Xenopus tropicalis: one gene and its partner. The protein of the gene in region 2 purifies or fractionates together with the protein of the main gene of each other region. This does not show direct contact. Links are inferred from orthologs where the notes say so. Each region holds a gene or a part of one and is shown on either strand. Other genes may lie near its edges.

Region 1 (4,072 bases), on a different chromosome or scaffold from region 2:
CTTACTACAATATACATACCCCCAAGCCCCAGAGGTAAAGATAACCTTTTTGAGTTATACATTAGCCCTGTGTTGTAAGAGAAGGCAGAGGCATCCTCTCACCCCATCAGCTGTAGGGTGATAATCTCTTCCCACTAAATGGTAACATGAAATAGTGGGTGACCCCAATGGCACTGGGTTATTTAACATCATCTTATTATTATTTTATTATTATTGTCCTGATTAAGATCACTGTTTACCCGTTATTAAGGGGCCACAGCTGTGCACACAATCCATTAAGGTGCATGGCTGCCTAGAAACCAGTGCAATCTGCAGCATGCATTGTGGGTTTTATATGTGGCCGATAGTAACGGGAAAGCAGACCTTCTTTACTAGAGGGTTGCATTATACTATACACTAGGGTTGCTACCTCACCCCGGCCGCATATTAAACCCACATCCTACATGGCTAATTAGCAATTCATTTCAATGCACGCTGCAGACTGAACTGATTTATGTGCAGCCATGCAGCAGGTATCTAAATTAATTGCTAATTAGCCGTGCAAAACGTGGAATCAATATGTGGCCAGTATTGAAGGGGTGAGGTGGCCACCTTATATACACCATGGATGTTCAACCAGCAGCCATTGGAATGTTGTTGGACTACAACTACCAACATCCCACTGACAGCGGAAGGCTGATAATGACACTGGTACTCGTAGCTCAACATCAATTAGAGCACTGCAGGCTGATCTCCCCCCTCCTCAATGGTTCGGCTCCATCTGAGCAAGTAAACAAGTGTTTCTCCCAGTGGAATGAGTGCAACTTACCTTGAATTTCACAGCCAGCAGCTCTGTAGCTTTCTGCTCCTTGGTCAGATCATCCATCATCTTCTCCTTCTCTTCTATCAGCTTCAGTTTCTCCTCTGCCAATAGACTGTGATCATCTTGGATGGCGGCCTTCTCCTGCTCAATCCTCTCTGCCTGCTCCTTCAGGTAACTTCCTACGTTCTTCTCGATGAGCTTGTCTTCATTGTCTTCTTCTGCCTCCGTATCTGGAGTGCCGTCTCCATCCACAGACTTTTTTCTGCGGCTGTTCCTTCTTCTCTTCTTACTCAGCATCCCTCGTTTCTCCAGCTGGGCTTTTAGTCGAGCGATTTCCTCTTGGAACTCCCTCAACAATGTGTCCTTTGGGTCCTCGTTGATTCTAGGCTTGTTCTTGATGTTCTTGGCCCTATTGGCAAATCTGAGGGTGGACAAGGTCTCGTCGTAATTGACCGAAGCCGGCCCTAAAGTTGCCACCATAATGGTTTTTGCATTGCCGCCCAGAGAATCCTGAAGCAAGCGGGTGAGTTTGGAGTCTCTGTAAGGAATATGGGTGCTTCTGCCATCAACCAGTGCAGAGATCACATTACCCAGCGCTGAAAGTGAGAGGTTAATTTTTGAAGCTTCTTTAGGCCTGTCACCATTTATTCCTGTTTTGCTTTGTCTCTCACTGCCAGCTAAGTCCACCAGGTTGAGTTTCCCCACTCGGATATGCTCTTCCCCATCCACTCCAATTTCGCTGCACTCCACCGTGATGACAAAAATGGTGTGGGACCTTGAGCTGTACTCGTTCATATATGTGCAGGCCACGGACCGTGACTGGTTGCCCAAATTCATGACATGTTCGATCTCCTTGACGTTCTTTGTCACAAAAGACGAGAGGTCCTTGATGTAAACTCCGGTCTCGGGATTCTCCTTGAGTTCGAGCTTCCTATTCTGGTCTTTGCACAAAAGGTCTCTGATCTCCTCCTGGTAGATTTCGAGGTAAGACGCCCTCACCAAATATTGCTGGTTTTGGGAGCGGGAGATGTGAGTGAAAATATGGTCAAAAGTATTAGGGATCACCCCTCTTTTCTCAGGCTCGGCCCAAACACCTTGCATAGTGTAGGTCTTTCCGGTGCCGGTCTGCCCGTAAGCAAATATGGTCCCGTTGAACCCCTGCAGCACCGAGTCAATAAGAGGCCTAACTGTCTCATCGTACAGGTCCGCCTGCTTCGAGCTGGCATCGTATACGGCATCGAATGTGAACGTCTTTGCCAGTTCCCCTGGATTTGCCCTTGGATGCCTCATAGTCACTTGGCCCAGTTTAATATCCATATCAACAATGCCCTCGTAGCCAGCTGCCTCCTCTTTCCTGTTGGTAGGGCGGCATCGTACCACCACCTTCAGCGCCTCGCTACTCTTAGCTTTGCTGCACATCTTGACTCTCCTTTTTGCTCCCGTCTGGTGCTTTTGTTTATCCCAAGGCAACGCAAACCCACAGACACACCTCAGAACCCACAGACGCCCCGGTGCAAGGATTTTTCAATCCTCCCCTTCTCACCTTTGCTTTCCTGAACAGAAGGATTTACTGGGCGGAATAATCCCCTGGTGGCATCTCCTTAGAAATTGCAGGAGCTTCATTGCGCAGCCCCCATGAGATACACAGGAGCCGTTCTAGCTTGTACGGGAAAGGACGGGGATCTGCAGCAAGGGGGTAAATAAGGAAATGTACCAAGTGCCCCCGGTGTGTGGGTAGTCAGAGCCGGAGACAAATCCTGTGCCAGGTTCCTGGGAGGCATCTGGAAACGCCTTGGCTGTTCCTCAGCTGTAGATGCTCATTCATTGCAGTGCGGCTGTTCTGTGTGTGAGAATGACAGGCAAAAACAAGGACAGGGGATGAGGCGGGGTCTCACAATGATGCTGTGGTGCTCGGAGAGGGTGGGGGGCAGATGCCTCTACTGACTGCTTTGCTGTGCAGGAAAACAGCCAGATAGGACACAATGCTCAGCTAATGCTTCCCCATCGGAGCCTGCCCACCGGCTGAGCTCACTCCCCACAGAGATGTTATCCTGCACAGGAATTCTGGGGCTTGTAGTTCTCAGCCGCTTGGTGAGTGTGGCAGACGTGCCACTAAGGCTCTTATTCTGCAGAGATTCAGAAAAAACAAAACAGGCCAGTGATTGGCTGACAGGCATAGCAACTCCCAGAATCCCCTTACAGCCAAGCAAAATGTGAGACATTAAAAGAGCAATGCTAAATAGAGATTGTAGGATTTTATTGGTAGTAAGTGTGAGTCCCTGGCAATGATATGTACAATGGAAATAGAGCATTTGGGCTGGCTACATACCTAAATAGAATTAGAATACATAGAATACATAATAATTAGTGTAACAAGGTTACAGATATATAGAAACATTGGGGTAACAGTCACCCTGCTATAGTTCCAGGGGTACCCAGGGCACAAATAAGCACTCACCCCAAATCTCCCCCTAACTGGCCTTCAGGCTGGGCCCCCTTAGCCCATAACAAGGTTACAGATATATAGAAACATTGGGGTAACAGTCACCCTGCTATAGTTCCAGGGGTACCCAGGGCACAAATAAGCACTCACCCCAAATCCCCCCCTAACTGGCCTTCAGGCTGGGCCCCCTTAGCCCATAACAAGGTTACAGATATATAGAAACATTGGGGTAAGAGTCACCCTGCTATAGTTCCAGGGGTACCCAGGGCACAAATAAGCACCCACCCCAAATCCCCCCCCAACTGGCCTTCAGGCTGGGCCCCCTTAGCCCATAACAAGGTTACAGATATATAGAAACATTGGGGTAACAGTCACCCCGCTATAGTTCCAGGGGTACCCAGGGCACAAATAAGCATTCACCCCAAATCCCCCCCCTAACTGGCCTTCAGGCTGGGCCCCCTTAGCCCATAACAAGGTTACAGATATATAGAAACATTGGGGTAACAGTCACCCTGCTATAGTTCCAGGGGTACCCAGGGCACAAATAAGCACTCACCCCAAATCCCCCCCTAACTGGCCTTCAGGCTGGGCCCCCTTAGCCCATAACAAGGTTACAGATATATAGAAACATTGGGGTAACAGTCACCCTGCTATAGTTCCAGGGGTACCCAGGGCACAAATAAGCACTCACCCCAAATCCCCCCCCTAACTGGCCTTCAGGCTGGGCCCCCTTAGCCCATAACAAGGTTACAGATATATAGAAACATTGGGGTAACAGTCACCCCGCTATAGTTCCAGGGGTACCCAGGGCACAAATAAGCACTCAC
Region 2 (3,500 bases):
TGTCGCACCAAAGCACAGAACATCAGTGGTAGCACCAATGTTACCCTCCTTCCTCCACCCTTGTGGATCGCTTCTGCTCTCCTGTGTGTGAACTTACAGCAAGACAGGGGTAGGTGAGCAGGGAGTCTATGAAGGTTTCATTTTTCCCATAACTGCGCCCTAGGCAGCTGCCTACCCCTAGTTCCAGCCCTAGTGAAGGTGTTTGAGGATGTTGACATAAAGGCAGATGTTCTAGTATTTAAATACAAAATTATTATTTCTAATTGTATGACCTGTCTGGGGAAGCCTGGCACATTAACCAAGGTTAATGTAAATAACACATGAAATACAGACACCAACTTGATTGCTTTATTTTTTTTATTCATTTAGCATTCGTCTGAAAAGTCTCAATGCCAATACAGATATTTCCTCTCTTGCACGGAAAGTGGTGGATGAATGCAAACTTATTCACCCATCTAAACTTGCAGAAGTGGAGCAGCTGCTTTATTACCTCCAGAACCGTAGAGAGGGATTGCAAAGTAAAGGTAAGATCTGCAAAACTGATAGTGGCTCCTTCGTCACAGTTTTATGAACCTTTGAAGTGTAGAGTCTGCCTGTGTAATTAGTTTGATTCCCTATCTGATTCCTGGGGGTTTATTTATTAATTTTTAAAAAAAGTGCACACATCCTCCATTCATCTAGAACTTTCAAAGTTTTCAATATAGCTTCACAATTAAAGGAACAGTAACACCAAAAAATGAAAGAGCTTTAAAGTAATAAAAATATAATGCACTGTTGCCCTGCACTGGTAAAACTGGTGTGTTTGTTACAGTAACACTACTATAATTTATATAATAAGCTGCTGTGTAGCCACGGGGGCAGCCACTCAAGCTGGAAAAAAGGAGAAAAGGCACAGGTTACATAGCAGATAACAGATAAGTTCTGTAGAATACAATAATGTTTTATCTGTTATCTGCTATGTGCCTGTGCCTTTTCTCCTTTGAATGGCTGCCTCCATGGCTACATAGCAGCTTATTTATATAAATTATAGTAGACTTTCTGAAGTAAACACACAACTTTTACCAGTGCAGGGCAGCAGCACATTATATTTTAGTTACTTTTATACACTTTCATTTTTTGGTGTTACTGTTCCTTTAAGAGCAAGGCCAAAGAGACACTGGCATTTTGTATAAAGTGTAGTGAGGGCTGCATTTGTCAGCATGAGCAAGAATGCACAGCTAAGAGAAAACCTTACTTTCATTCATTAAAATCCTTTTAGCTTTTTGTTCAGTAGCTATTCAGTTTGGAATTTCAGCAGCTATCTGGTTGCTAGGGTACAAATTATCCTAGCAAATTATCCTATCCTAGGCCTGAATATAAAGAAAAGTGATAAAAAGTAGCAATAACAATAAAAATGTAGCCTCACAGAGCAATAGTTTTTTGGCTACTGGGGTCAGTGACCCCCATTTGACAGCTGGAAACATTCAGAAGAAGTAGGCAAATAATTCAAAAACTATAAAAATGAAGACCTTTTGAAAGGTTGCTAAGAATTATCCATTCTACAACATAATTCGTTAATTAAGGTGAACTACCCTTTTAACAAACAGGCCACAAGGACTTCATGCTTTTGTTACATAACCTGATTCTGTACTGGACTAAGTGCACACATACATGTGTTATAGAATATAGTGCAAATTGTTGCTTATCTGCATTCTTTTTGTTACAATAACATACTTTATGCACTTTTTTTGCTTGCACTTTGTTTTAACAATAAAAAAAAAAAAACCCTCAGCTTTCTGCTCTGTGTGCTGTAGGTAGTATATGTAATAATGTCTCAGAGACTATAAAACCAGTATTCTTTGGTTTTCCTCTCACGGGCAAAACATGGGTTCATTATGTTCTTTACAATGCTATTATTGGTTATTGTGTTTTGGGGTATTATCCGAAAGGATTTCACCTATAAATTTTTAGTCCAGGTGGTCTGGCTTTATTCTCTATCTGGAGCTTACAAGTAAGCTATTTGATGTGCTTTTAAAATTGTAATAGATGCAGCCTGCATTTTGTTCAAAATAATAATAATGTAAGTATTTGCTAGGCTTTCTGTTTTTTTTTATGGAATGCTTGGCAGAATTCAAGACTCTTCAGTCTTTTCTCTAAGCTTTTAATAACAATAACACTAAAAAAAAGGTTTAATATTAACTGAGCGCACTAATGCTTCCCAAAGAGCTGCTTCAATAGAATTCTCCTCTTTTTTTTATGTATTGTCATTTAATGTCTCCTAGTTAAAACCAGCTGGGAAACGCTCACAGGTTGAAATGTTTTGCTGAATAACTAGTATTTTTTTATGTGATATTTCTAAATTCCTATATTTGTGTGTTCTTCCCCTCGAAGTGCAAAGTCTTTCTCGGTTAAACCCATACTTTGTTTTCAAGGCTGTTTTTACCACTTCGCACGAGCTTAATGTAAGCCAGTGTTTCATTTCCTGCTCAGTATCATCCAGTCCAGCGGGTGACGATGCTCTGACTTAGTTGCTGCTATAAAGCCAACACTGGGAAAGAACAGTAACATTTTTGTAAGATGAGCTGAAGAAAAATACCGTGATGAAATGTCATCCTGCTTTTGGTTAGCATTAAACGAAAAGGGTGATATTTTATTAAATGTTTTCACGGCAGTGTAAATGTCACAGACACGGTTTGAAATAATATTTGGGACAAAAAAGGAAAGGCCAACTAAGCCTGTAATAGGAACACAGAAAATGTTTAGCAGAGTTAAGGAACCAATATAATATCCTAGTGCAGAAGCAAGTTGTGGAATTATGTTCTGTGCCTTTGGGCGGATTGAAAGGTTCCCATAGCATTGTGACTGAAGCCACTGCAATACACAGGGATTAAATGTGTCTGTGGTTTCTGACCTCTTTATGAATGTAACTGTTTGGAAACAGCTGTGCTGTCCATCTTTTCACAAGCAGTGGGAATGTTATCCAACAAAGCTAAAAAAAAAAATGTTTCTGGACCAAATTATGGGAAAATGAAGTGACAGCAGTAGAGCCCATGGGCAGGCTAAGAAACATAACATGACTTGGGACACAAACTGGCCAGCGCTGGTATTCCCTATGCCCTGTGATGGCTTGCATGTTATGTGTGAATTGTCTAAGATCAATGCCCTTTGTTTGTTTAAACATAAATAAGGAACACAGGAGAGAGGCAAACGTACCAAAGAATGTTAGCGTTAGAGCTATGTATGTAATTTGACCATTCTGGCTTAACAGATCTCCATACAGGATTTAAAACAATCATATATTTCACTATTTTTTAGTTTATTTTTATTATATAATGGATACAGGAAAGGGATCTGTTATGCTGAAACCCGTTATCCAGAACGCTCCAAATTAGGGGACGGCTGTCTCCCATAGACTCCATTATAAACAAATAATTCTTCTTTTTGAAATGATTTCCCTTTCCGTGACAAATAGCTGCTGCTAGTAGCTCCATGTGTCTTCTCCCTAAAACTAACTTTTAGTA

What was found. The genes of interacting proteins can lie anywhere in the genome.
Region 1: the proteins of kifap3 (region 2) and kif3c purify together in Homo sapiens (co-immunoprecipitation; 3 studies listed by BioGRID and IntAct, counting the BioPlex papers as one, with this or other methods). This does not show direct contact. The link is inferred for Xenopus tropicalis from reciprocal best matches to the Homo sapiens genes KIFAP3 and KIF3C.

The regions. Positions count from the first base shown.
Region 1 is NC_030681.2:154,245,938-154,250,009, forward strand, and holds the start of kif3c (kinesin-like protein KIF3C), read right to left. Parts: upstream 2,801-4,072; 5' UTR 2,222-2,800; coding exon 809-2,221; intron 1-808.
Region 2 is NC_030680.2:118,547,055-118,550,554, forward strand, and holds part of kifap3 (kinesin-associated protein 3), read left to right. Parts: intron 1-369; coding exon 370-524; intron 525-3,500. UniProt on the Homo sapiens protein: Involved in tethering the chromosomes to the spindle pole and in chromosome movement. Binds to the tail domain of the KIF3A/KIF3B heterodimer to form a heterotrimeric KIF3 complex and may regulate the membrane binding of this complex.